Linked DNA regions of Canis lupus familiaris. The protein of the gene in region 1 interacts with the protein of each later gene in a pairwise test. Links are inferred from orthologs where the notes say so. Each region holds a gene or a part of one and is shown in the gene's direction. Other genes may lie near its edges. The genes, in order: MFAP1, CEP70, CARD9, KATNBL1, BICD2, TLE5 and TRIM54.

Region 1 (3,748 bases):
CTGAGATCATAAGCTGAATCAAAAGCAGACAATCAACCACTGAGCCACCCAAGTGCCCCATGAATTATTTTCGTTTTTCTGTCCCTCAGTTTCCCTCTCTCAAGACTTCACTATTAATAAAGGCAAACAACCTCCAGGTGCTCTAAGACTAAGGAAATGTGGGTAATGCTCTTTCACTTTTGTGACATTGGTGTTATACTTGAAGATGCTGTTTTTCAGATTGGCTCGACATCGGAAAATAGTAGAACCTGAAGTGGTAGGTGAAAGTGACTCAGAAGTAGAAGGAGATGCATGGCGCATGGAACGAGAGGATAGCAGTGAAGAAGAAGAGGAAGAAATTGATGATGAGGTATAAAAAGGGAAAATGAGAAGTTCTTTCTGGGTCCGAGAAAAATTGGGGCCTGTTCTCCTTTGTTGAGTTTCCAAAGGCACAAATTTGATACTTTGGCAGAACCCTGATCCAGTGGTTCCCCGTTTGTTGGAGATAGAATTAAAAATAAAATGATGCTAAGTTGTATTTAGTTATAACAGAATTTATTAAATGTGCTGAGGGGAAAATAAAAAGCTGCCTTAGAGCACAGGTCATTGGGCTGACTGACTTGGACATATGACTTGACAGGAAATAGAGAGGCGCCGTGGCATGATGCGTCAGCGAGCACAGGAGAGAAAAAATGAAGAGATGGAAGTCATGGAGGTGGAAGATGAGGGACGTTCTGGGGAGGAGTCAGAATCAGAATCTGAGTATGAAGAGTACACAGACAGTGAAGATGAGATGGAGCCTCGCCTAAAACCTGTCTTCATTCGAAAGTAAGTATGTCATAAACCAGGCCTGATTCCACATAGTTACTACTTTCCATGTCTGAAGATGGAAGCCTTTTTTTCCTCTCTCAGGCTTTTCTGAAATGTCAGCTGTAAGTGAAAGTCTTCTGCCCAGTTCCCTATCTATGCAGAATATTTGCTGAGGAATATCTTGGTATTAACAGAGAACCTGAGTTACGTGCTCATAACTCCCTTTTTAAAGAGCATATAATCTCCCCACAGTCCTGTAAGGCACAAAATTAAACTTGAAAAGTGAATTCCTGGTCCTTTTCTAATGGCAAGAAATCTTACAATTTATAATCCAGAAGGTTCTTGCTATTCAGGCAGTTATCAAAGATGAATGGAATTTTAATGCTTTAAATACCTAGGATGACTCCCAACTTTGGCTGTTTGCAAATAATAGAGCCAGCGATTATTGGGCTTTGTCTCATTTGGATGGGACTTAAGCTAGAGACAAAGAGGTCCACTCTGAGGACTTTGGGCAATTAACAGGACTTCTCTGTTGCAGGAAGGACCGAGTAACAGTTCAAGAACGGGAGGCTGAAGCATTAAAACAGAAGGAGCTGGAGCAGGAAGCAAAACGCATGGCTGAGGAGAGGCGCAAGTACACACTCAAGGTACTGGGGAGTGGCTGTAAGGATTGCATGCAAGGAGGAGTATACTTAGGTTTGTCAGGAAAATAAGGAGATCCAACAGTTAAATGTTCTCTTTACCCAGATTGTAGAAGAGGAGACCAAAAAAGAGCTGGAGGAGAACAAGCGGTCCTTGGCTGCACTGGATGCTCTCAATACTGATGATGAAAATGATGAGGAAGAATATGAGGCATGGAAAGTTCGGGAGCTAAAGAGAATCAAGAGAGACCGAGAAGATCGAGAAGCGTAAGTAATAAGATGGGCCTGTAGTTTAATATCAATAATGGGACAGGTTACTACTAGGGTAACTCTGAGGCTCAATACCTACCATGAGTTAGTTCCATTCTAGCTTTCTTTAGGGTTCCTGCAACTGAGTGAGTTTCTCATAATTGTAATGTGGCTTATTCTAATAAAATTAGTGAAAAGAAACACTCTGTCAGTGTTTCTCTTGATAGAGTGCCAGTGAATACTTCCTGTAGTTTCCTAGTAGGCACACACAAGTTATTCACTGTTATTAATTATCCAATCTTGCATAAAAACCCAACCCAAAATTTGGTGACTTGAAACTGTTGATTATTCCTCACAGTTTTGGAGTTCGCTAAGCAGTTCCTCTGCTGGTTTCACCTGGGCTCTCTTAATGCACTTGGATCCAGCTGGAGAATTAACTGGGCTAGAGTGTCCAAAACGGTTTCATTCACATGTCCAATAGTTAATGCTAACCTGCCTCACTTCTTCAGTGGGCTAGATCGGCTTCCTTATAAAACAGCCTCATGGCAGTATTCGAAGAGGACAAAAGTGGAAACTGCCAAGGTCTTTTGAGGCTTATATGTCATTTCTGCAAAGGGGCATGCATATTGTGAGGGGAAGAATTTGTGGCCTTTAAATACTCTACCACAGTCAGTATTGTTAGATCAGAATCATTTCTGAGCTGCATCACTCATTCTTAAAAATTACTAGGAATGAGAGGGTAATCCCAGATTACAAAAGGAAACCATGAATAGAAAACTCTGTCCTCAGCCTGCAGTTTCTAAGATTTTTATCCTGGGTTTCAAGGAGTGCATGTACCCTTTAAAATCATATACAAAGTTATGTCTATTTGTATTTTTCTGGAGACAAGGGATATATGGCTCCCCTCCCCCCAAAAAGGGTTAGTCACTGCAATCTAATTAATGATGGTAACCCTTGGTTTGTCATGTATGTACATACACAATTACTTAAAAAAATGCCAATTAAATCTTAACACAGTTATGTTAAATTCTGGGTTTTTTTAAAGCCAAGTAGGCTTTTTAGGGAAGGGAAATTACTAACATTGCAAAGTCAAGTAGTAATATTATGTCCGAACCTTATAAAGACTATTGGAAGTTTACAATAAGACCATTTCACCTTTTTATTTGTTGGGCTCCTAATCTTAACTCCTAATAGGCAATGACTAGAATTAAGGAAGGTGAATAATGCTTGAAAGATGAGACTGCATTAAGTTCAGATAATTGAGTCTCTCTGAAACTGGAATAATACTAATAGTTTTGTTCTCCACACAGGCTTGAGAAGGAGAAGGCAGAAATTGAACGAATGCGAAACCTGACTGAGGAAGAGAGGCGAGCTGAGCTTCGGGCAAATGGCAAAGTCATTACCAACAAAGCTGTTAAGGGCAAATATAAGTTCTTACAGAAGTATTATCACCGGGGTGCCTTCTTCATGGTAAGGAGTCAAAAGGGAATGGGAAGTTTGGGCTATAGAAATAATTTGGAACTTTTGAGTTCTTTTCTCCCCCCAAGAATAAACTGTCCTGGGATGTTACTTCTACTTGCCAATGGTCAGTGTTCTCATTTATTTTTGCCTCTAAAGAATATAAATCCAATAGAAAAAAGCATTGACAACACGATTTTAGAAGTAGCAGCCACTGTTCTCCATTCAGGCCCAGATATCAGGAGGAAATGGTGTGTAATAGAAGAATTGAGGAACTAAAATAGTGATCTATGTATATAGATATAGACTACTTAAATCCCCAAAATTAATTAGATAATCACTATTCATAGCTGAGTGAGGAATTTTGCTTATGCAAATATTTGGGAGGTTGAAATTTAATTCCCTTCAATCTGAGCTGACAAAGTGACTAACCAAAAAAAAAAAAAGAAAAGAAAAAGTTTATTATCTAGCCAGTATGTGTAATACCATCAAGATTTTGTTCTTCACATGAAAACCAAGGTCAACCTTGGTTTGACCAAGGTTGACCTTGTTAACCTTGTAACCTCTCACATGTTAACCTTGTATAAAGTGATGAGGACTTCTTCCAGATT
Region 2 (3,748 bases), on another chromosome or scaffold:
TGTCACAATTTGAATTGGGACTGTTAAATCTATTGCCTTGTCCACTCAGACTCTATTTTTTTCATAAAGGTTTTTTGGTGACCTAAAAGTACTAGAAAGGAAAAACAGTATGCTTTGTTTATTCATTCAAAAAGTTTTTTTTTTTTTCCATCCTCATTATGCCCTATACTCTTCTAGGCAGTGAGATGCAATGGTGAACAAAATACAATTCTGGTCTACATGGATCTTATGTTCTAATTAAGGTGGTAGTGAACAAATATGTACTGTAATATTGGGTAGTTGTATCTTCTAATACCATTCTCTCTGAGAACAAATAGGAAATTTGGCTTAAATTTTAATTCATGTTTAGGTTCTCAGACACTTCAGGGTTGACTTTTGTTAGCTATATTTTTTCCTTTGAAGATAGATTTTTTGTAAGAAGTACACATCGTGTATCTTTTCATAGGCAATATAAAGAAGATGAAAGTCAGTCAGAAGAAGAAAAAGACTATAGAAGTTTGGATGCCTCACCGACTTATAAAGGCCTTCTAATGGTATGGGGACTACATGGCTAATAATTACGTTTTTATAAAGTAAAATAATAATCTAGGAAAATTAACTATTTTTCTATGAAATGTGTTGAAGTCATTACAGAATCAACTCAGGGAATCGCAATGCAAAATTGATGCACTTTTAAGTGAGAAGCTGAATCTCCAAAAAGATTTGGAAACCAGGTGAGAGAAACTTGACTCATTTTTATTTAGTTTTTGGAAAGTAAACACAAATTGGAATTTGGGATGTTAAATGAATCTTTCTAGCTCCTTTACTGTAAAACTAATCTTGGAAACTTCATATTTTTTTTACACTCATTTTAGTTAGTTGTATCTCATATGATGGAAGGAACAAGATCACATGTAGGTAGGAAAGGGAAGTGAGAATAAAGGAGCCCACATTGAAAGAGATAAAGCTGGGTAGGAGCACAGAATATATTCAGATTTATATCAGCAGGTTTCCCATTCCCAAATTTCTTTAGAATGTTTTCTATCTTAGTCCCTGTGTTGTGAAAGAAGAAAACTAAAAAGTTTAAATGGTATACAAGGTATATTTATGCATAGCATGCCACCACAAAAGGATGATGCTCTGTGTCTTGTCAGGGAATAATAAAGAATGAACATTGTTAAGATTTTTTTCATTTAAGAAGTGTTTGTTGAATACCTCTTATAAGTTAGACACTGTCCTAAGCTGTGGTGTAATATAATGACCAAATAATAACTTGTTTCATAAAGATTATATTTTAATGGAGAAGGAATTAATAACTAAAGTAGAAACCATTTATATAAAGTTTAGAAAAACCTACCACATGATGATATGTAAATTTATGGTTATATAAATATGTAGTAAAAATTTTTAAACATGCATGAGAATAATGAATAGTGAATTTGGGATAGTGGTTACCTAATGAGGGACACACATGGAGTTTTAAGTATGTGTATAATGTTTTAGTTGAAAAAAAAATGAAAACAAATCTGTTAATATTTAACTTTGGTGAGGCTGAGTAGTGGGTACACCATTATTTATTTTACTGTTCTCTCTTCTTGTCTGTACATTTGAAATATTTCTCCATAAAAGCAAATAATAGATTAACAAGAAAAATGGGTAAAAAGTTCTGAACCAAGAATACATGGAAGGAGACATTCATTGGCCAATAAACACCTCACTGACAGTCATGAAATATTTTAAGTTTTTTAATAAGCATATTTGTGACAAGTAATATGGCATACCTTATTTATTAAATATCTTTATAGTTTTACTCAATAAAATGCAATTCAATGTGATTTATTTTCTGCAGGCCCACACAGCATGAATTAAGACTTTATAAACAACAGGTGAAGAAACTGGAGAAAGCCCTTAAGAAAAACATCAAGTAATTCTATTTTACCAAAGTTACAGATTTGTTATGGTTTTATATTTTTATTTTTATTACCTTTAAATTTACTTTATACTTACCTCATGGTGGCTTTGGCTTGAAATTACCAGAGTGATGATGGGGGAAAATGTCGTAAAAGGGTATTTTTGGTTCCACAGTTTGTTTGTTTTTTTTTTGAAAAGATTTTATTTATTTATTCATGAGAAACACAGAGAGAATGAGAGGGAGAGAGGCAGAGACACAGGCAGAGGGAGAAGCAGGCTCCACGCAGGGTGCCCGATGTGGGACTCAATCCCGGGACTCCAGGATCACGCCCCGAGCCAAAGGCAGGCACTAAACCACTGAGCCACCCAGGGATCCCTGGTTCCACAGTTTTAATACAGTTTCTACTGTGTTGGATTTGGCTATGTATTTATCTTAAGAACAAAAGACAGGGATCCCTGGGTGGCTCAGCGGTTTGGCGCCTGCCTTTGGCCCAGGGCGCGATCCTGGAGACCCGGGATCGAATCCTACGTCAGGCTCCCGGTGCATGGAGCCTGCTTCTCCCTCTGCCTGTGTCTCTGCCTCTCTCTCTCTCTCTCTGTGACTATCATAAAAAAAAAAAAAAAAGAGAACAAAAGACAGCATTTGCCTGATATAATAAGGGCAAATATTGTAACTAGAAAATTGTCTTTGGAAGCCATAGTGGAATTGTAAGTGAATCATTGAAATTATACATGATGAGCTCTCAATTTTTGTTGGTGCCAGTAATGGCCTGAATAATACACAGCCTCATCACACTTTAAAAGTACTTAGAATGAATGCAGTGAGTGAGCCATTCACATCCATCACTTATTTGTACTTTTCTTAACTTTGAAAAGCACAGTCTCAGAGGAGTTTGAAAAGTTAGTCCTGAATAGTAGTAGGATTTTCTGAAGATAATCTAGGTGTACTTTTTCATTCAAGGGAATGGGACTTGAGGAGGTAGTGCGGGGAGCATTGGGAGGAAATATTTTGAAAACTATATGAGCTAATATATGCATTAGATGTATTAAATCAGTTGTATTAGCATAAGTTGATTCAGTTTTCAGTGATAACCGTGTTTCTTCCTTCCTGTGGCAACACATGCCATAGTGAAGGCAAATATTCTGGAGATCCAAGGATTAATGTACTGAGTTAATTAAGATAGTACAGAAGAAAAACTAAAAAAGAGAAGAGAAATGGAAGTTTCGGAAAGACTGCATTCTTTAGCTCACTTAATATTTTCCCCTTCCTACTACTCCTTAGTATTTTTGGCACATTTAGTACTTCTGCTATGTGCTTGGCATTCTAGGTACTGGAATTGCAGTAATAAGCCAAATAGAAAGGATCCTTGCCCTCATGGAGATTACATGAGGAGATAAGGACAATGAAGAAAAAGACCATTTTGATGTAATATAATTACTAAATGTAAAATAGTCTGTTGTGTGAATTTGGACAAGAGGCGGTGGTGACATGGTCATGGGGCAATAACAGCAGAGGTGAGAGTGTTTGGAATATTGGAAGGTAGAACTGTTAGGACTGGGTGATGGATTGGATATAGGCATCTCACAGGGCGGGGAGGGGAATCAAGACTCCTTTAAGTTTCAGGCCTAAATAACTATATAGTTATTGGTATCTCAATAAGATAGGAAAATTGGTTGAGAAGCAACTGGAAAAAGGATGATGGAGGGAGGTAAAAAGAGGAGAAGGTGTAGATAGACATTACATTTGATTATATGTAAGTCTTCATAAGGAAATGAAGGTCTGAAGAAATAGTTAAGCCTGAGCTGCCTAATACTAGGTTTAATGAAGAATGGAAAGTTGTAGAAAAACATGATAGGA
Region 3 (4,209 bases), on another chromosome or scaffold:
CCCACGTGTGCCTCGGGGCCTTTGCACTGCTGTCCCCTCTGCCTGGCCTTCGTCCATGTCTGTAAGGCTTGTTCCCTTATCCCAATCATGTCTGCTCAGTGTTTGGCTGTTCAGAGATGCTCTCTCTGCCTGTTCTCTTGGGGCAGTACCACTGTCAATGTCTGTCTTGCTAGCACTGTCTCTTCTACACCCGACATGGTTTACATGCGTGTCTGCCATAAACGTGAGCCCTTAAGGGCGGTGATATGATTTGGTTTTTGCTGCCGGGTCCTCAGTGCCCAGAGAGCAGGCATCAAGTAGGCCCTCAGTACGGATTAGTTGAGTTCATGGTGCAGAGATCCCATGTGGGGGAAGATGTCTGGTCTACAGAGGTGGGAGCCAGCTCCTGCGAGTGTAGTGGGGCTGCGCCCTGAGAGGGTCCACAGAGGGGATGCTGGGGGTGGGGGTGGGGGCATCAGAAGCCCACCCAGGCTCTAGGGCCTGCCCTCAGCATGGCCCCCTGCATGGACTGCAGGTGGGCAGCCAGACCCGGTTCTGCGCCCTCGGAGGAGGCCTAATGCCACCTTTGGTTCCTATCCTACAGCACCATCTCTGGGGTCTGGCTGGGGTCAGGGTGTCCCCACCATCTGGGCATCTCTGTGTTCCAGGAGGCGGGAGCCATGCTGGACCCCAGTGAGCCCACCTGCCTGTGGAGCCCAGCTCCAACCCTCCCGGAGGAAGCAGCCTAAAGCAGTTGGAGGCTGGGGGAGGCTTCGCCGTGTGACCGTGAAGCCACTGGGGCTTGGCTAGTCCTCCAGCACAAATCGGAAGGAATGTTTGAAGGAATAAAGTGAATGGCTTATTTTTTTATTAAAAGGCAAGCCCCAGATTCTTGTTGCCTTAAGAGACTGGGCAGAGGGTTGGGGCTCCCCTGACCGTGCCAGGACCCGGATGGCTGGGCCCTGAGGTCTGAGGAACCCCCTGAGCTCCGGGCCACCGTGTAGGACGTGGGGAGTGCCCTTTGCACAGAACACGCTTGTGGCTCAAGCCCCAGGGCCTGCCAAGAGCTACCAGGCAGCTGCTGCCTTGGTGGGGCCACAGGGAATGGGGTGGACCTGCCTCACTGCCTTCCTGACCACACCGCCGACCCAGGCAGGCATCTGGAACCAGCGGCTGCCCGCCTGCCCACAAGTCACGCAGCGGCCCCAGGCCGGCATTGCCTTCCTCCTGAGCAGCTGCTTCTTGGTGGGAGGCCAAGCCCCAGCACCCTTGGTGCTCTGAGGGACGCGGTGCACAGCCTTGGCTTTGGTGTGCAGCCTTTTGAGGTGCTTGGTTCTAGAGGCTTCATGCCTGTGCTCTCCAGGTGTGAGCATGCCCTGGGGTGCTGTACCCACCCACCAGGGGGCTGACCCACCACCGTGCAGCCTCATGCACAAGCTCTTAGCTTTTCAGTTTGCACCTGGGGCTTTTTCAGCTCGTTTCTGCTTTCCTTGGGGGCTCCTTTAGACCTATGGCTAGTTAGAGGTCTCTTATTTTATTTTCAAACGTTTAGGGATTCTCCAGTTAGCCTTTTGTTATTGATTTCTGGCTTTTGATACAGAGAACAGAACATTTCTGTCATTGAATTCTTACCAACACCCCCGTGGGGGAGACACCCTTTATTAATTTGCTTTTGCAGAGCAGGGAAACACTGCTGGTCATAGCTCCTGGAGGGCCCAGGACTGGCTGTTCTGGAAGCGCGATGGCAGCCTCCATCCACCCAGGGTCAGAGGTCCGAGAGCCTACAGGCGGGGAGCCTGTCAGGCAAGAGGCAGCTGCCATGGGAAGGTGGGGCTGGGAGCCCTGCTCAGGACCATCCTGGCCTTTCCCTAGCAATTGCCTCAGCCTGGCAGCCAACAACTTGGACCAACCGGCCCAGCTGCGCCAGTGAGGCCTTGGCCTGGGGGTTTCCTGGCAGACCCTGGTCTGGAGGCCTGCTATCCTGGCTATTGGGTGCAGCTCTGATGGCAGAAACAGCCCTTCTGAAACTGGTTTGCGGGGCCATGATGAGTGGCCTGGGAGCCTGCTGTCACAGTCCCGAGTGTCCTAGTAAAGAGGTTGCTAAGTGGAGACACTCCCAGGAAGGGATAGGGTGTGCAGTGTAGCAGGGGCCGGTGGCCATGTGGGGCAAGCACGGACAGGCCACAGTGGGGTCTCCAGCCACATGCCTTCTGGACGCTACACCAGCCCTCATGTGATCAAGGCCCGGCTGGCCTACTGTGTGTGTGGGCATCTGGCTGAAATCCCAGAGTTAGGCCTGAAGCCCTGGGATCTCCTGCACTTTGCAGAGGGCCCACGCTGCAGGTTCCCAGCCAGCCCCTGGTGGAGAAGCCTCCAGAAGCCTGCGTTCAGGCCAGAGCGGACTAGACAGTGCATTGGCCTCATCCAGCTCCGGGGAGGGTCCTTGCTCACACTTCCACTTAGTGGATGCCAGGGGTGGGCCTCCAGGCCTCTGAGCAGGACTTCCACTTCCCTCTGCCCCGCCTCTTGGGCCCTGCCAGGCGGGCGAATCAGAAGGCAGGCCCAAGGACCCACTCCCTCTGGGAGGACCTTCCCGGCTCTGTGGAGCTGAGCAGCACCATCAGGAAGTGCACAGCTTTTCCTCCTGAGCTCCACTGGGCTGCCAGCAGCACCTCCTGTTCATCGGATCAGGCCAGCCTGGGCTGACCAGTGTCCACTGCACAGGTGCCTCTCGAGGACCCTGAGGTAGGCTGGTTGGCTGCCCTCTCAGGGTGGCCAGGAAGACACCCATCTCTCTGCTCAGGGCTCCTGGGGCACATACCCCAGAAGAGCACCCAGGGCCTCCACTCCTGCCCTGTCCTTCACAGCCACCTGAGACCTGCTTGTTCAGCTCGGTGGAATTAGAGGCAGGGGTCAGGTGTGGGACCTGTGGATGTAGGTGGGAAAGGCAGGAAGCGGGCTGAACGTTCCAAGGGCCATCCACTGAGTTGCTGGTGTCTCTCTGGCTGGATGGTGTGGCCAAGGGCTGCAGGAAGTTCAGGAAGCTCCTCCAGAGGCCCTGCCTGCTGCCGTCTGTCTCTGGGAGTATGGCCTAGCTCCTCTGGGTGGCAAACCTCCGCCCACAGTTCCTACGCTGGCTGAGGGCAGTCTGAGGTGGCAAGTCAGGGTCTCTGTCCCCACCACTGGGAGGAGGCTCCTGGTTTGGCCCAGGCCTCGAGCGTGGTCTGTGCCCGCCAGTGGAAGGGAGCAGCAGTGGGTAGTCCCAACACGGATGGCCCTGGTCAGGGAGCTGGCACCCTGCGTGCCCAGGAACAGGGAGAGGAGCCCAGAGGTGGCTGGTGCCTGGTCCCTAGGAGTCTGCAGAGGGCACAGGAGCGGCGTGGGTGCTGGCCATGCCAATGCAGCTGGGCCCCTCCTGGTGCAGCGGTCCACAGCTGCCCTTCCTGAGCCAGCCGGTGCCTGGGCCACTGTTGCACCACCAGCCAGCCGCCGGAAAGAGAGGAGGCGGTGGGGCTAGGCCCTGAGCAGGAGCCATGTCCAAGAAGGAGGAAGTCCTACAGCAGCACAGGCTGGCGTGTACGTGGGCAGGTCAATGCCCCAGGCGTGCCTCCCCAGCCTGGGCGCCTACCTCCCTGTACCTGCCAGGGAGGCCCTGCCAGTGGGTACGAGGTGGTGGTCTGCCAGACTCACGCTTTAGGGATGGGGGTGCAGAGGCCAGAACAAGGCCACAGTGGGGGGGGGGGTATTCTCAGATGCCGCCAGTCCCTGAAGCGCCTCCACATCTTCCCTCACACTTATCAGGGTGACTTGGACAGAGAAAGCCTAGGTCACCTGCTGAGGGAGTGGCTGCAGGGTCTAGAGAAGGCCGGGAGGGCTGCCCTGGCTGAGCTGGTGCCCCGGTCAGAGCACCAGCGCAGAGGAGGGAGGGCCAGGGCGGGTGAGGCTTCACACCTACCTGTCCTGGACTCCCCTGGGCCCAGCATGCAACTGTCCCTGCCAGCTGCTCTCCCACCAATCGCAGCGGTGGCCGCCACCATGTCAGACTATGAGAACGAAGACCAGTGCTGGAGTACCCTGGAGAGCTTCCGAGTGAAGCTCATCTCCGTCATCGACCCCTCGCGCATCACGCCCTACCTGAGGCAATGCAAGGTGCTGAACCCCGATGATGAGGAGCAGGTGCTCAGTGACCCCAACCTGGTCATCCGCAAGCGGAAAGTGGGTCAGTGCTGC
Region 4 (3,748 bases), about 9.6 Mb from region 1:
CTTCAGCCTGGGATCAAGTCCCATGTCAGGCTCCCTGCGTGGAGCCTGCTTCTCCCTCTGCCTGTGCCTCTGCCTCTCTCTCTGCATCTCTCTCTCTCCCTCCCTCTCTCTCTCTGTGTCTCTCATGAATAAATAAATAAAATCTTTGAAAAAAAAAAAGAAAAGCCATTTGATTAAACTAGGTAATAAGTGGATCCCTGGGTGGCTCAGCGGTTTAGCCCCTGCCTTTGGCCCAGGGCTCTATCCTGGAGTCCCGGGATCGAGTCCCACGTCGGGCTCCCGGCATGGAGCTTGCTTCTCCCTCTGCCTGTGTCTCTGCCTCTCTCTCTCTGTCTATCATGAATAAGTAAATAAAATCTTTAAAAAATAAAAATAAACTAGGTAATAATTCTATTCCATTATCATCATTAAATAATAACTGATTTTCTTTATCTTCAGAGAAATATTAAATTGGAATAGTGTTCACATGTGAAAATTATACATGGAAGTTGAATTCCAAAGCCCAGTAATCCCCTCTCTTTTTCTGACAGAACCTTACACTTCATTTTAGGAGGGAAAAAGCACAGTAGTTGTTTAACCCTCATATCTGTTACAATGAGTAAAGGAGAAAAAAAGAGATGGCTTCTGGTGGACTAAGTATTGAGGCACAGGGATAGAAGCATCCTGCAACCTATAAGTCTTTTGACTACCTAGACATTAACCTGAGAATCAAATGTGGATGATTGTAATTCTAAAAACTGTATTATAATCATCATAATTTGAGTATCGCCTTGATGTAAAAATGTATGGGCATTCTACCAAATGAGCCAGATTCATGAAGCTGCAAAAAATTATCTCCCAACAATCTTCTTTTTTTTTTTTTTTTTAAAGATTTTATTTATTTATTCATGAGAGATGCAGAGACACAGGCAGAGGGAAAAGCAGGCTTCCTGCTGGGAGCCTGATGTAGGACTCAATCACAGGACCCTGGGGTTCATGCCCTGGGTTGAAGGCAGACGCTCAACCACTGAACCTCCCAGGTGTCCCTCCCAACAATCTTCTTAAAGATTTTCTCTCTAGGCTCTCAAAAATTTCCCACTTCAACCCAAGACCAGGTTGCCCAAATGCTCCAAATGCCTGGTTTTCTTTCCTGCTTTAACAAATAAGTAAGGGATCCCTGGGTGGCGCAGCGGTTTGGCGCCTGCCTTTGGCCCAGGGCGCGATCCTGGAGACCCGGGATCGAATCCCAGGTCGGGCTCCCGGTGCATGGAGCCTGCTTCTCCCTCTGCCTGTGTCTCTGCCTCATTCTCTCTCTCTCTCTGTGACTATCACAAATAAATTAAAAAAAAAAAAAATAAGTAAATCATTTAAATCATTTCCATGATTTGCAAATATTATTTTAAAGAGCTCCTTGAAAATAAATAAATAAATAAATAAATAGCTCCTTGATTTCAAGTGGTACAATTCTCCTGATAAATACTTGAAATTTTAAAAACTGTTCATTAAGTGTATTTACTATGTTCATATTCTTATATTTGCATTTTTTTCTTATTTTCTCATAGAAATATTCAGATTTTAAAACAACAATTAAGTGGATTATGGGAACAGGAAAACCATCTTACTTTGGTTCCAGGATACACTGGTAATATAGCCAAGGTAATCTATATTTAAGCTTAAAAAGTTAAGCTTAAAATCTCTATTTAAGCTTAATTAAATATTAGAAATAATATGTTGGTATTATGCATCCATAAAGGAAGTCTTTCAAATATCCAATATAGTATTATTCTAATAAGGCCTAAAGTCAGTTTCATATTTACAAATGCTTAAGGTCCTCTGGGTATGAATATGACTTTTGCAAGAAACACAGGAATTAGCCATTGAATATGTTTCAGATATAGCTGTGGAAATGATGTGCTAGAGGGAATTTAATGAACTAGTTCCATTAGAGAAAAGGTTAAGAACCCAGGTTAGGAAGACATTTGAAAAGATAGGGACACTCAGGAAGCAAGGGGATGAGGAACCTGATCAAGTGGTTTCAGGGTATTAATTCTTACTTGGCTTTTGCTAATGTCATGCTTTTGGGAAAGTAAATGTTCAAATCACAGTACAAATTTGACATTAGTCTTTATTTTTTTATCTCTTAAAGGAAAATGCACATTGCTAATTTGGATTTTAATATTTAAACTCCAGAAAACATTGGTAGTTGAAATATAATTTCAGGGGGAAAAAAATCACTGTTAAGAAATATTTGCACCTGTTTACTGGGCATAAATGGGCATTAATTACAAATATACAAGCATTCTTTAGTTTAAAAACACAGTATTCTAAGTAAGAGATAATTATGTTATGGGCTTAGTTGCGATATTCTACTTGTATACCTTCAAGAAAAGAAGCAAAATGATGTATCAAGTGTGTTATAAGTGTGTGTAATTTTACTTTGTAGAATTCTTAATGAAAATGTCATAAAATCAATTTCCCAGTGCTTTGTTGTTTTAATTTGTTCTTTCAATAATGGGAGGGAAAAGAAAGTAAAATTTGATAGAAAATGGATATAGAGCATGCATCATATATCACCTCATTCTGGAGGCACCTTGCATTCTTGTTAGTACTGAAAAAATATTGTTTCCTTAGAAATTTGTTTTCAATTGCAATTTTTTATCCAGAGAAGCTTTATTGTGACTATGACCTTAAGATACTATATTTATTATTGAATAGAATAGTGAATGATTACAAGTTCTGTGAAGTTCCTTTAACTGGGATAAAAACCTCTTTTACAGTATTAAACCCTCAATTGTTAATTTTTCCAGGGTAGAAATCAGAAAGGCTGTGTCATCAAGCTGGCCTAGAGTTTATATAACACTGCAGGAATTGCTGGAAGTGATTTCATGATCTTGCTTCACTATAAAAGCAGAGTTGTTTGATCACAGGAACCAAAGCATTCACTCAACACTTAAACATTTATTGAGAATGTGCTGTATGCTTTTAGCCAGACCCTGGCTAAACAAAATACAGCTTAATTCAGTAAGACACATTTTTTACCCTCAGAAGGTCACAAAAGAAAGCAAAAGCAAGTCAAGTGACAAAAAGGGAGAGGAAAATGGGGTGTGCATCTGTGTATTTGCCGTACCAGCTAATGAAATGTTTTTGTTTTGTTTTCTAAGGATGTAGACGCTTATTTATTACAGTTGCATTGAGAGAATCCGTCTATTAAAGAGCATTTGATTATTCAAAACATCCCTAGACTGAGCTTTCCAAAAAGAATTTTCATCTGAGAACTGTGAACTGTGGAAGAAATAAAAACTTTTTTTTTTCTTTAAAAAGCCGCATATGAAACCACTAATGAAAACCTAACAATCTACTTCACATTGAAGTGGGAAAATATCCAAAAGGAGCAGCTTCAACTTCAGTGAGGTGAAAGTGCACTATGAGGATGGTTCACCTTTGCTGCATTTGGGATTTATATGATTATTTGGTAACATTGTTTAAGAACTACTGGGTCTTAAAAAAAAAAAAAAAGAACTACTGGGTCTTAATGCAATCTTGTTTAAGAATATAATTTATACTGTGTCAAAAAGAAGACAGGACTTAAAAAAAAAAAGAAGACAGGACTTATTACTAGAAATCACAAAGACCTATCATAATGACTTTTTGAAGATTGTGTTTTATAAGAAAACACTTAAATGTGTGCAGCTATTTTCTTATTTTGAAAAGACTTTGCAAGTTTAAATGTCATAGCAAATAATCAATACTAAAAATTTGTCCACACTGA
Region 5 (3,748 bases), on another chromosome or scaffold:
GAGGAAACAAATACCAGAGGTGAAGCAGAGGGGACACCGGAGCCCAGGGGCAGGCTGTCCAGCTCCATCTGTCCGCAGCAGTAGCAGGATGCACCCATGACCCCTGGAGCCCTGGACCCGTCCCTCCCACTGTCCGTGGTCTGCCAGCCCCTTGTCTGAGGTCCTGACCAGGAGGTGCCGATGGGCAGTGAGGACCAGCAGGGACGTGTCAGGGCTCGGACACCCCGGCAATAGGTGGGATGAGAGAAGGCTTCTTTGACAGCGGGGTAAGGAAGGTCACTGCCACTGCTGATGGGACATCCAGGTGGTATCCCAGGGCCACACCTGCCACCTATGTCCCCAGGATCCCCTAACCTCCCTGGACGTTTCCATCTGTGTGGGGGGCATGGCCCGGGTGTTTATGTCGGCAGCATGACACCAGGCACAGAGCGCCTGCTTCGGGCCACACAACAGACTTGCCGTGATGCTGGACTAGGCCCTGGTGGCAGGTGGTGGAGGCTGGCCCCTCCCCGGGCCTCCCCCTGCCCCAAGTTGTGAGTCCCTAAGGTCCTCTCGGGCCCACATATAAGTGGTCTGTTCCTTATTTCTTGCACCAATATGACAGAATAAGAAATGTTTTTGTTTTTTTGGAATAAGAAATGTTTTTTTTAAATTTCCCATAGACTCCCAAGTCCCCACTGCAGGCACTGGTGTCTGTCCGCACTTACCCCCTCATCCACCTCCAGATACATGCAGCTCTGGATTCTTTCCCCACCTCCGCTTCCCCTGGGGAGCCTCCGGGTCGGGGTCCCTCTGGATTCCGGAATACAAGTGATGGTCGTGGTACATGTTTTATATTTGTTAAAATATTCAATTAACAATTAATGTTCACTAAGTAACTTTGTGGAATCTACAGTCAGGACGCAGTTAGTAACATTGTAAGTAGCCTGACATCTGCAGCATTTGCAGCAGAGACATGCGTTCTGGTTTCCGTGGCATCTGTGGCTCTGAGGAGCATCCTGGCTCTGCTGACAGTGGCGCTCTGAGCCCTGTTGTTGCCTCCCCTTTGTGCAGGCACAAGACGCTGTCGCTCTTTCCCCAGGTGGAGTTTGAGGGCCTCAAGCACGAGATCAAGCGTCTGGAGGAGGAGACTGAGTACCTCAACAGCCAGCTGGAGGATGCCATCAGGCTCAAGGAGATCTCGGAGCGGCAGCTGGAGGAGGCGCTGGAGACCCTAAAGACGGAGCGGGAGCAGAAGCTCAGCCTCCGCAAGGAGCTGTCACACTACATGAGCATCAACGACTCTCTCTACACCAGCCACCTGCATGTCTCCCTGGATGGCCTCAAGCTCGGTGACGACACAGAGGCCCTGGCCAACGGCTTCGAACATGCCAGCCTGGCCAAGCTGCCGCTGGACAACCGGACCTCCACGCCCTCCAAGGACGGTCTCGCCCCGCCCTCCCCCAGCCTGGTGTCTGACCTCCTCAGCGAGCTCAACATCTCTGAGATCCAGAAGCTGAAGCAGCAGCTGATGCAGGTGCGGGTGGCCAGGGTCGTCCCAGCCACAGGGCCTTGAGGCGGCTGTGCACATTCCCTGCTCCAGCTCTGCTCTCATGGTGCCCCATTCCCCTCTTGCTAGTATTTATTATGGAGTCTACACTGCTAGCATCAGTGGAGCTGCAGAGCTGAGGGGAGGTACAGCCTGGGTTTCTGCAGGTTCCCTCCTGCTGCCTCATAGGGCTCACAGGCGATCTCCTGCAGCTGCGTCCTCTGGACATGTCATGTCAGAGTTTCCCGCCCTGTATAGAACAGAGTTCTGGGATCTGTAGCATGGCCCACCCCCATTTACCACACATCTCCAAGGAGGGGCCCATCGAGGCCCCACACATGGCACCCTCATTACACACAGCACAGACCTGCAGGGGGATAGCTGTGGTGCCGGCGGGGTCACCACTGGGTCTTTCTGGGCTCCGGTGGGCTGATGATGGGGCTCTTGTGCTCTTGCAGATGGAGCGGGAGAAGGTGGGCCTGCTGGCATCACTGCAGGACACACAGAAGCAGCTGGAGCAGGCGCGGGGGGCCCTTTCGGAGCAGCGCGAGGAAGTGAGCCGCCTCACAGAGAACCTTACCGCCCTGCGGCGCTTGCAGGCCAGCAAGGAGCGGCGGACAGCCCTGGACAGCGAGAAGGAGCGTGACAGCCATGAGGACGGGGACTACTATGAGGTGGACATCAATGGGCCTGAGATTTTGGCTTGCAAGTATCGTGTGGCCCTGGCAGAGGCAGGTGAGCTCCGCGAGCAGCTGAAAGCCCTGCGTGGTGAGCATGAGGCCGGTGAGGCCCGGCATGCTGAGGAGAAGGGCCGCCACGAGGCTGAGAGCCAGGCGCTCACTGAGAAGGTCTCCCTGCTAGAGAAGGCCAGCCGCCAGGATCGCGAGCTGCTGGCCCGGCTGCAGGCAGAGCTGAAGAAGGTGAGTGACGTTGCGGGTGAGACACAGGGCAGCCTGAGCGTGGCCCAGGACGAGCTGGTGACCTTCAGTGAAGAGCTGGCCAACCTGTACCACCATGTGTGCATGTGCAACAACGAGACTCCCACTCGCGTCGTGCTGGACTACTACCGAGAGGGCCCGGCTGGCGCTGGCCACTGCAGCCCTGAAGCCCGTGGGCGCCGCTCACCCGTCCTACCCAAAGGGCCGCCAGCCACGGAAGGTGGGGCGGGGGACAGCAGCCCCTCGCCCAGCCCCTCTCTGCCCTCCCCTCTGAGTGACCCACGCCGGGAGCCCATGAACATCTATAACCTGATCGCCATCATCCGCGACCAGATCAGGCATCTGCAGGCGGCCGTGGACCGCACCACGGAGCTGTCGCGGCAGCGCCTGGCCTCCCAGGAGCTGGGCCCTGCTGCAGACAAGGACCGGGAGGCACTCATGGAGGAGATCCTCAAGCTGAAGTCACTGCTGAGCACCAAGCGGGAGCAGATCACCACGCTGCGCACGGTGCTCAAGGCGAACAAGCAGGTGTGCAGCTGGGCGGGCGGGTCTTGTCCCTCCCTGGGCCTCGGACAGCAGCTCGAGGAGACGGAGGGCCCCTCCCCATGTGTCTCAACCCCCTGCCCTTTGTGTGTCTGACCCCCAGACAGCGGAGGTGGCTCTGGCCAATCTGAAGAGCAAGTACGAGAACGAGAAGGCCATGGTGACCGAGACCATGATGAAACTGCGTAACGAGCTGAAGGCCCTGAAGGAAGATGCGGCCACCTTCTCCTCCCTGCGAGCCATGTTTGCCACCAGGTAATGCCCACGGCTCTGGCCCCAGGTGGAAGCCCCCAGGGTTGTTGTCTGCAGTGTCGCCTGCACTTTGCATGCAACAGGAGGAGGCTGAGAGCCCACGGCCCAAGGTGGGCTGGCAGCGTGAGGGCGGAGTCCACCCTCAGAACCCGGCAGAAGTCTACAGATTCCCCAGGAAGGTTCCCTGCCTGACAGCAGTGGACCCTGGGGTGTGAGCTGCCAGCTGGGATTGAGCTGGGGAGGGCAGCCAGCTGTGGACGCGGCAGCCCAGGTGCCTGTGCCAGGAAGTCAGGGCAGGCCTGCCCGGGGGCCTGGGTTCAGGTGTTTGCGCTGAGGGGCACGATGCCCCCCTGCTGGCTGGTGTCGGGCAGGCACGGGCCCTCGTGGTCCAGAAGGGCCCTTGAGGCTGTGGGTGAGGTGGGGCTGGAATCTGGTCAGAGGCTGCTGTTCCTCAAGTTGTAGGATATTCCTGGCTTCCCCAGAGGCT
Region 6 (4,528 bases), on another chromosome or scaffold:
CGGCATAGTCGATAATGACAGCGATGGTGGTGGTAATTAAGAGACTGTATTTAGCACTTGCCGGGCTAACCAGGCATTAGTTCACCAACTTCTTTGGGGCCTGTTATCCACATGGCAGCAAGAGTGATCCTATCAGAATCCCAGTTGGCCGGGCCTTTGGTGGGGGGGTCGCGGCCTCCTGCCTCGAGAGCCTCCCTTGGAGTAAAACCCCCCACCGCCCCCAAGGCCCTGCACCATCTGTCATGCCGCCGGCCCCGCTACAGAATTCACATGGCCCAGTGCAGAACAAAATTGTGGGACCCCGGGGCAGCCCCTGTGGCGCAGCGGTTTAGCGCCGCCTGCAGCCCGGGGTGTGATCTTAGAGTCCCGGGATGGAGTCCGACGATGTCGGGCTCCCTGCATGGAGCCTGCTTCTCCCTCTGCCTGTGACTCTGCCTCTCTCTCTCTCTCTCTCTCTCTGAATAAATAAAAAATAAAATCTTAAAAACAAAAATTGTGGGACCCCTTGTTGGAAAACTATTAGGAATTTCCAGACCAGCGCAGCAGGCCATGAACCCGCACAGGCCCTTCAGAGCGCAGGCCTCCAGTGGGAACCAAGGTGTGAAGCTGCTGGCCCTGCCTCCCTGCGCCGTCCCCAGTGCTAGGCTGGGCCTGCCTCAGGGCCCTTGCACTTGCTACTCCTGCCTCCCCCCACCCCCCCTCCAGGGCTGTCTCTCACTTTCAGGTCCTCTGCGGTTGAGGAGGCCTCTCTGACCTTCCTCTGTTTCAAATCGCACTTTCCGGGCCCTCCCCGCTGGCTCATTTGCCCCCTAGCTGGGGGTTCGGTCTGTCTCCTGCCATCTCCACCAGGCCGGGATTTTGCACACACGCGCGCGCACACACACGCGCGCGCGCGCACACCCCGCCCCCACCCCCAGGTCCCGAGCGGGCCCGCACACAGTAGGCGCGGTGCGCGGGTGGGGGCGGCGGGGTCAGCGCGGCCTCCCCGCAGAGCAGCCGGCCCGCGGGCCAAGGTTACGGAGCGCGTCCCTGGCACGCGTCCAGGTCGCGCCATGACGGAGCCGGCGGTGTAGACGGGGGCGGCGGGCCCTCCTCGCCGCGCGGGGACACCGAGGCCCGCGGCCGGCCGCCCCCCGCCGGGAGGGGCCGCGGCGGGGCGGGGCGGGGCGCGCCGAGCCCAAGGTCACCGCGCCGGCCGGCGGGAGGCGGGCTGGGTGGGGATCCGCAGGCCTCCCCGGGCGCGCGCCCCCCTCGGCGGCGCGCACGGGGCCCGGGAAGCAGCAGCGGCGGCGGCGGCGGCGGCAGCAGGTGGAGCCGGAGCCTCCGCGAGCCGAGGCCGCGGCCAGTGCCGGCGCCGCCGCCATTAGACAATAGGAGCGGCGGCCGGGCGTGCGGGGAGGCGGGCGGCGGGGAGGGGCGGGGAGGGGCGCCGGGCGCGCAGGAAGCGGGGCCCGGGGCGCGCCGGGGCCGGGCGCGCGGGGAGGGGGCGCAGGAAGCGGGCGAGGCCGGGCGCGGGAGGCGGCGGCGGCGGCCCCGGGAGCTGCCGATCGGCGCCGGGACAAAGGCGCGGCCGCCCGGCGCCCCGAGCCGCCCGAGCCGCCCGAGCCGGGGCGCACAACCGGGGCGCAGCCCGCGCCCCCCGCCGCGACTGACATGATGTTTCCACAAAGCAGGCATTCGGTAAGCGGGGCCCGACGGCCCGGCGCCCCCCCCCACCCCGGTCGGGGCCCCGCATCCCCGCGCCCGCGCCCCCCCAGGTCCCCTGCCGGCCGCCCCCCCCCAGGTCGGGCCCCGCGCGCCTCCCCAGGTCGGCGCCTGGCACCCGGGGTCCCGGCCTGGCCGTCGCCCTCCCCGCTCCCGGCCGGGCCGCCCCCCCATCCCCAGCTCCCTGCTCGGCGCCTCCCCCGACTCCGGCGCGGGGCCCAGCGCGGCTCCCCCGCCCCCACCGCCCGGGCTCCCCGGCCCCCGCAGGTCCCGGCCGCTCCCCCCGCCCGGCCCGGATCCCCCCTAGTTCCCAGGCCCGGTCCCCTCCGGCTCCCGGCCCGGATTCCTCCTCCCCCCGGCCCCCGGGGCAGGCCCCCCCCCCCCCGCGCCCCAGCCAGGCCGGGCCTCGGGCGGCCTTGGCCTCGGGCCTGGGGCACCCCGGGAGCCCCGCCGGGCCCCGCGAGCTCCGGGGCTGGTCTGGAGGCCTGGGATGAGGGGGGATCCGAGGCGCACCCCTCCCGGAAGAACGCGGCCGGGCAGGAGGGTGCTGGGAATCTGGGGCGGACGCCCCCCCGGGTGATTTCGGGCGCCGGGAGAGGCCCCCTCCCCAAGGGGACTTTTCGGGGAGGCCGGGCACCCCCACCAACTTGGGGAGGGGGCCTCCAGGACGCCGGCCCCCCTCCCGCAGAGGCGGTTGGGGCCCTCGGATTGCACCTCCCTCCGGCGCTTCCGAGGGGCGGTAGAGGGCGCGCGCCGCCCCCCGCCGAGGGCGGACCTGCTAACGCACCCCCACAGCCTGGGGGTGGCGGGGAGCGCGGCGGCCCCGGGCGCACCCACCCCTTCGCCTTCCCCCGGGAGAGGCGGGGGCAGGAAGCGAGGGCGGGGGCCGCGCCAGGGGCTGTAAACACGGGCCCGGGAAGTGGGGCGGGGGGGGGGGGGCGCTGCAGCTGCGCCTGCCCCGGGGGTCACCCCGCCCCGCGGGGCCCTGACCCGGCCGCCCCCTCCCCGCAGGGCTCCTCTCACCTACCCCAACAACTCAAATTCACCACCTCGGACTCCTGCGACCGCATCAAAGACGAGTTTCAGCTGCTGCAGGCTCAGTACCACAGGTGAGCTGGGGGCCAGAGGCCCTGGCGGTTGGGGGGGGAGGCCCCCCAGGCCTGGGGGGGGTTACTGCTTTATACACCTATTTGAAGAAATGGAGGCCGAGAGCGTCCTGGTACGGGGTAGGCCCTGTCCTGAGCACTTTCCGGATATTAAACTCGTAGACTTCAAGACAACCCATTTCACTGGTAAGAAGCCTGAGGCACAGAAAGTTAAATTATTTGTCCAGACACTGGGGCTGTGTGGCTTCAGAGGGCCTCTCCCCACCCCCACCCCAATCCCCCCGCGTGGATAAAAGACCTCCCAAGGAGCCTGGTGGAGGATGGACCCCCCACCCCGGAAAGAAAACATTCCGCAGCCTGTCCTGTCTCTTCTCTGCTTAGTTTTGGGGAATGAGTTCCCGGCTCCCAACAAGACTCTCCAAGGAGGCTCTTCCCCCAGAATTTAACGTTCTGGCGCCGTAAAGGGCTTGCGCAGTGCAGCATGGAGGGGTTGGACCGGTGCTGTCTTTGTCTCATGCTTTAAGAACGTCAAGCCCAGAGAGGGCAGAGATTTCCTGAGGATGCACAGCACTGAGACCAGGCCGAGATGTGCCCGTAATCTCTGGGTTGGGGAACGCAGATTCTCAAGGCTGTTGGGGGGCGGGGGGCTTTGCCTGGGAATCGGGCCGGAGTCCTCGGTCACGGTCGCAGACCCCAGCGGCTCTCTAGGCCTGTTGGCCTGCGCAGACAGGTTCCAAGACAGATTCTGGGTTTTAAGAAAGAAAAACAGCGAGATCCAGATCTGTAGATAGATTTTTAAAAAAAATCTCACCTTTCAAGGCGACTTTCCTCACTCCCCATGTGCTAGATGCTGAACCGATGTCCTCTTGTAGCATTTCCCCGCTGTGGGCCTCTTAACTGTGCCCATTTCTCAGACAAGGAAACTGAGGCACTGGCAGTTGAAGGCAGGCCCCAGGAACTTTGTTTGTGGTCCCTGATGTGAAGCATTTAGGGCCTGGGCTGGGCAGGCCTGGGTTCTCGGAGCCCCTCCAGAGCGCCCCCACTTCGTAGTGAGCCCTGGGGCCTGACAACCCCAGAGCCGGGGGTCAGAGGGCCGTCACAGGGCTGTGTGTCCTCAGCTAAACCCGACACCCTCTCTGAACCTTGGGGTCTGCACCCGGTGGACCTGGGTTTCTCTCTGGACTGTGAGGGGTCCTCCCATGGGGTGGGTACACACAGGAGTTGCCAGACCCTCAAACAGGGCCAGAAATTCAGAGTTTGGCGTGAAATTGCCTGATTGTTTTTTTTTCCCCCCAATGGTATCCACAAATAGCGTTTTTTAAGGAAAGGGGGAGAAAAAACACGTGGGGCCCATAGCCACATGCACAGTGGCAGACCCGTCGTAAGCACTTTGGTGAAGCGAAGATGCCAGGCCCCTGGGATGACTGACCAGAAGGTCAAGCATGTATCAGGTGCTTCCTGTATACCAGGCGCTGTTCTAGAAGCTTCTCTGGTCTTCATCCACTTCCTTTTCTCAGCACCCCCACCCTGGGAGGTCAGTCCCTACAGATGCAGAGACAAGGCCCAGAGAGGTAGAGGGGTTTGCCTAGAGCCACACAGCAGCGAGGTGGCGGGCCTGAACCCTGAAGCCACCGCATGTAGCTGGGGTCTGCGCCCGCGGCTTTCTAGGTCTCTCTCTGCCCTCCCCCTTGGGGCGGGGGGGGTGCTTTGGGAGGTGC
Region 7 (4,433 bases), on another chromosome or scaffold:
AACTGAGCAGGGTGGTTCCTATCCCAGAGCTACTCATCAGCTAACCCTCCTTTGTTGCAACACTGCACCAAGAACTTTTAGCATCAGCCTCATTCCTATAACCAGCACACCTTTCTGGGGCTGGTCTCACTTCTCCTGGTGCCCATGCACTTGATGTTGTCAGCCTCATTCTATGCCACCATGACTCAGCTCAGGCAAATTATGAATGCATTTGAGGTGTAGAGGTAGTTATCTCACCTTTGGATTCTGTCTGGACTCCACCACAGCACAACACTCCTCACCATGGGTCCTGTGGGCTGACCAAAGTTCATACATCAGTGGTTGCTTGCCTCCATCCTTTTTACCACATCTTATGCAGGCTTATCACCATATATGTTGTTCTTAAAATGGGCATGAAACATTTTATAGGGAAAAGATACTACTTTTACAGACCCTTTCCCCACTCGTGCCTCTTCATATTGCCTGTTTGGTAACCTCTCCACACCATTTATTTCCCATCCACCCAAGGTCAGAACTGAGTAACTCCTCAAACTTCTCTCTCCTGACTGGGAGAGGGACTAAGAAATGTCAGTAAATAAACGATCTTTTTTGTCCAACCCAATGCATTTGTTGGACCTCAAAAAGACGAATCATGCCTGGGATAGAGCAAAAGGCCCATGGGAGAAAAAGACAGAGGGTGGGTGCCCCTATCTGAGACCAGCCTGCTTTGGAAAGGAGGAGTCCAGAACAACTATAGAGTTGGGGCAGAGGCTTCCTGGAGCCTTGTGATTATGACTTTGTCAGTGCTCTAAAATTTCCCTGGAGACCAATTCCCCTGGTGCCCAAAATAGGTTCCTGGCACTCGGGTCCTTTCTGCTCAGCTCAACTTCTCTTGATTTCCCAACAAATTTAAAGTCCTTGGAGTTGCTCCAGTGATGTGTTCATGGACCAGATTCCCACACTTTCTCAGAGGCATGCTCATGAGGTCGTTCCAGGCCCTGGGGCAGCTGCCAGCTCTAGCGCCCTTAGCTTCTTTTCCTAGGGTGATACAAGAAAGTTCTAGGCAAGAACAAGAATGGACCGGAAGTTTTGGACCAGAGTCTTTCCCTCTAGTGTCTGATGCCCCTGTTTTGAATCACAGGGTTCAGCGGAACAGGGTGAGGATCACAGGTTGAGCCTTGGAGGTCCTGACTAGGTTTTGAGATCTCTCCTTCCACCCTGAGCCATGTATGGTTCTCATCCAGGCCATTTTAGATTCTGCATTGTTGCCCTAGAAGAAGAGCCCACACCAGAGCATGGGGGTCAGGGGCTCACCAGAGCCTACTGAGCGTGAGAGCTTGACATCTTTGCAGACCCACCTTTCACCATAAGAGTGGAGCTCACTCCTGCTCTTATGAGAGTCACCCATTCCTGAGTGAGTCAGGGTCACTCACTTGGTGACAGCTGTGGCTCGCCTTACATGAGCTAAATTGGGAGTTGGAATGTCATGCAGATGCCCCTTGTTCCCCACCCCCATGTTAAAATTAATCTCCTCTCTGGGAAGTGAGGGACAAACAGTACTGCCCATAGAGTGAACAAGAATCATTTGGGAAACAAAAGGAGAAATTTTCAGGGACAGAATCATTCAGGAAGGGAGGGACAGATAAAGCTACATGTGCCTGGCTGGGGTACAGAGCAAGGAATAAAGAGAAGTATCTGAAAACAGCTATCTGAAGACGAGGTGAATTGTTGGAGGAAGGGACAGGAGAGATAGCAGACCTATTTCAAGAGTGAGCAGTAGAAGGGACCATAAGAATCTACGGGCTGTCTAAAGTAAACGAGGAAGGGTCCAGGGGCAGTGAGGGAAGGCCAGGACTAGGGCCAAGGCCAGGGCAGGCATAATCGCTGAGGGGATGAACTTCACAGTGGGTTTCAAGCCGCTGCTAGGGGATGCACATAGCATGGACAACCTGGAGAAGCAGCTCATTTGCCCCATCTGCCTGGAGATGTTCTCCAAACCGGTGGTGATCCTGCCCTGCCAGCACAACCTGTGCCGAAAGTGTGCCAACGATGTCTTCCAGGTGGGCCAGGGATCGGGGGAGGGCAGGGCCAGGTAAAGCAGTGTAGATTTGTGGGAGACTTCTCATCAGGTCAGAGCTGAGACCAGAAGGTGATGGGGCAGAGTACTCTATGAAGTGGGTGGTGTCTGTCCTGGCGGAAGAGCAGAAGATTCGGGGTCCTAGTAGATCCCAAAGTAAGCATGAGTCAGCAACTGCTCTGCAGGCTGGCAAGGACAGCCTATGCATGCCTGGACAGCAGCTGGAAAGCTGGTATCTGCAGAAGAGAGAAGACCCCCATAGAAACTAGAAACTGGGAGGGAGGTGGTCCTACCCTAAGCTGCTTAACAATCTGTACTGGACTCTCTATTCCAGTCTAGAGTTTCAGATTTTGAGAATGATATGGAAGATTTGGAGAAAATATCAATGAGATAATGAAACATTAAAAAATAAGCCCTATGAGCACAGTCCATGATGAAAGTATTTGTATTTGAGGCCAAGCTTAACACATCCATCTTTTGGGGCAGAGTGGGAGTGGGTAGGAGATTGGGAATTCTCCCCAACTAAAGTTCACACTTGTGCCCCACTCCAGATTGGTCAATAAAGGGGCCTGCTGGTTAAAAAGCATTGTGGTCACTTAAGTAGAGAGAATGTAGAGAAATGCAACCAGCTTTGGTTTATGTGCGGTCATGGGGCAAAGCATAGCTAATCAAATTCACAGATGTCATTTTAGCTACTGGTTTCAAAAAGAAATGCAGCATATACCAGAATGGTTTATAAATGGATTTTCTATTTTGACCTCTGCCACTGGAAGAAAGATCAGAGAAAGTAAGGGGAAAAGTTGCATACACATACACACACACACACACACACCCCTTGCAAATGAAGTAAAATATCTGAATAAACCAGAGCTAGCTAGCTTAGTAGGCAGGGCAGTGTTAAGGAACATCACTAACACATATTCTTCACCTGTATCAGAATTCAGGGAGAAATGTGTTGAACGCAAATGATTTTAAAGTTAACCAAGAAAATGCTTCTTTTTTTTTTTTTTTTTTTTTTTTTTTTTTGTTCTTTGGGGCAGCATGTTTGGGAAAAAATAATGGGCTGGCTAAGTCAGGCTGTCCCATAGCTGTGCCCTGTGACCTATCCTTGGCAGTCTGCCATCTTCCTGTTGAAGCCCATTCCCATCTCCTATTCTTCTGTGTCTTAGCCTGCCGTTACATTGTTTGGCTCCAGAATATCTCAGAGCCAAGGATTTTCCCTCTCTGGGAAGGGCTGACTGCTCTGTCTGCTTATCCTGGACATCAAGTCATGTACTAGAGGCTTCGCCTTGCCCACTATTTTAGTTTTCCTCAGGCTAAGTACATTTCTGAACATCCTTCAGTCAGATGCCTAGGAGGGAATGGCAACAAGGTTTTGCCATCACTTTTCATGAATTTGTAGTGAAACATCTTTCCATTAGATCTGGAAATACATGAAAGCAAAGAGAAGTTTTGAAAGTGAAGGTAATCTGTCCTATTAAAAAAAAAAAAAGCCACCAGAGTATCAAAGTACGAAGCATATAGTATCATCGGGCAGAGGGTCCCAGGGAAAAGCTCTCTGTATGGAGGCTACAGAATGTTTAAGTGGCCTCCCTTGTTCTAGTCAGTGCTCTATATCCAGGTGCACCATTTTGGTGCCTTAAAGCTCTGAAATACTGATTGGACCCAGAGAGAACTGAGACTGGGCTGAACCCTATGCAGAATGTTTGGGAAACAACATGGTTCCCAGAACTTTGAGATGGTTCTGTGGATCTGGACTGATATGTCTCTTTTAAAGTGCAGAGCACCCCTGGGCATCCCCCACCAAGGAGAAGAGTGAACAGCTCATTTCCTTGCTCTGCTTTATTTGGGGCAGCCTGGTGGGAGGCTGACCCAGTTCTTTGGCTGCACTTATGTATATACATCTCAGTAGTTCTCCCTCTGAAAGATGAGCATATTTAGTTTTTTCACACATTGCCTCCACATTTTGACAACTGTAGGCATAATCAGATTGTCTGTTTTCTAAGTATGGGAACAAGAATAAGACTTTTGGTAACTCTATCTTAAAACCACTTAGGAAGAATACCCTGAGAACATTGCCTAGAAAGTTAATAGAACTTATAAAAGTTACAGTGTCACACACACACACACACACTTTAAAAAATAGTATAGGAGTTTATAGCATGAAAAATGACTACCTCAGGCTCTCACTTCCCTTCTCCAAATAGAGGTAGCCATTTCCAATTTTCTTGGGTACCCTCCCAGAGATTTTCCATGGATAGGTCCACCTATGTTTGTGTGTTTAAATTACACTCATTGTCCTAAATCTGCTTTTGTTCACTTACTCTTTCTGTAGTTGTTCCATCTGCACACATTCAGATCCGCATTTTCATTTTAA

The links.
Region 2: the proteins of MFAP1 (region 1) and CEP70 interact in binary tests that used the Homo sapiens proteins (3 or more experiments, as listed by UniProt). The two-hybrid records come from large-scale screens. The link is inferred for Canis lupus familiaris from reciprocal best matches to the Homo sapiens genes MFAP1 and CEP70.
Region 3: the proteins of MFAP1 (region 1) and CARD9 interact in binary tests that used the Homo sapiens proteins (3 or more experiments, as listed by UniProt). The two-hybrid records come from large-scale screens. The link is inferred for Canis lupus familiaris from reciprocal best matches to the Homo sapiens genes MFAP1 and CARD9.
Region 4: the proteins of MFAP1 (region 1) and KATNBL1 interact in binary tests that used the Homo sapiens proteins (3 or more experiments, as listed by UniProt). The link is inferred for Canis lupus familiaris from reciprocal best matches to the Homo sapiens genes MFAP1 and KATNBL1.
Region 5: the proteins of MFAP1 (region 1) and BICD2 interact in binary tests that used the Homo sapiens proteins (3 or more experiments, as listed by UniProt). The link is inferred for Canis lupus familiaris from reciprocal best matches to the Homo sapiens genes MFAP1 and BICD2.
Region 6: the proteins of MFAP1 (region 1) and TLE5 interact in binary tests that used the Homo sapiens proteins (3 or more experiments, as listed by UniProt). The two-hybrid records come from large-scale screens. The link is inferred for Canis lupus familiaris from reciprocal best matches to the Homo sapiens genes MFAP1 and TLE5.
Region 7: the proteins of MFAP1 (region 1) and TRIM54 interact in binary tests that used the Homo sapiens proteins (3 or more experiments, as listed by UniProt). The two-hybrid records come from large-scale screens. The link is inferred for Canis lupus familiaris from reciprocal best matches to the Homo sapiens genes MFAP1 and TRIM54.

The regions. Positions count from the first base shown.
Region 1 is NC_049251.1:10,836,717-10,840,464, reverse strand, and holds part of MFAP1 (microfibrillar-associated protein 1), read left to right. Parts: intron 1-219; coding exon 220-349; intron 350-619; coding exon 620-807; intron 808-1,327; coding exon 1,328-1,436; intron 1,437-1,536; coding exon 1,537-1,697; intron 1,698-2,989; coding exon 2,990-3,149; intron 3,150-3,748. UniProt on the Homo sapiens protein: Involved in pre-mRNA splicing as a component of the spliceosome.
Region 2 is NC_049244.1:35,272,639-35,276,386, reverse strand, and holds part of CEP70 (centrosomal protein of 70 kDa), read left to right. Parts: intron 1-445; coding exon 446-533; intron 534-624; coding exon 625-713; intron 714-1,828; coding exon 1,829-1,903; intron 1,904-3,748.
Region 3 is NC_049230.1:49,108,906-49,113,114, forward strand, and holds the start of CARD9 (caspase recruitment domain-containing protein 9), read left to right. Parts: upstream 1-1,264; 5' UTR 1,265-2,724; intron 2,725-3,959; 5' UTR 3,960-3,960; coding exon 3,961-4,198; intron 4,199-4,209. UniProt on the Homo sapiens protein: Adapter protein that plays a key role in innate immune response against fungi by forming signaling complexes downstream of C-type lectin receptors.
Region 4 is NC_049251.1:1,191,768-1,195,515, forward strand, and holds part of KATNBL1 (KATNB1-like protein 1), read left to right. Parts: intron 1-1,541; coding exon 1,542-1,635; intron 1,636-3,140; coding exon 3,141-3,173; 3' UTR 3,174-3,748.
Region 5 is NC_049222.1:99,449,199-99,452,946, forward strand, and holds part of BICD2 (protein bicaudal D homolog 2), read left to right. Parts: intron 1-1,081; coding exon 1,082-1,516; intron 1,517-1,986; coding exon 1,987-2,994; intron 2,995-3,112; coding exon 3,113-3,264; intron 3,265-3,748. UniProt on the Homo sapiens protein: Acts as an adapter protein linking the dynein motor complex to various cargos and converts dynein from a non-processive to a highly processive motor in the presence of dynactin.
Region 6 is NC_049241.1:56,586,087-56,590,614, forward strand, and holds the start of TLE5 (TLE family member 5), read left to right. Parts: upstream 1-1,559; 5' UTR 1,560-1,653; coding exon 1,654-1,680; intron 1,681-2,418; exon of another isoform or gene 2,419-2,514; intron 2,515-2,715; coding exon 2,716-2,813; intron 2,814-4,528. UniProt on the Homo sapiens protein: Transcriptional corepressor. Acts as a dominant repressor towards other family members. Inhibits NF-kappa-B-regulated gene expression. May be required for the initiation and maintenance of the differentiated state.
Region 7 is NC_049238.1:21,321,852-21,326,284, forward strand, and holds the start of TRIM54 (tripartite motif-containing protein 54), read left to right. Parts: upstream 1-1,507; 5' UTR 1,508-1,871; coding exon 1,872-2,039; intron 2,040-4,433. UniProt on the Homo sapiens protein: May bind and stabilize microtubules during myotubes formation.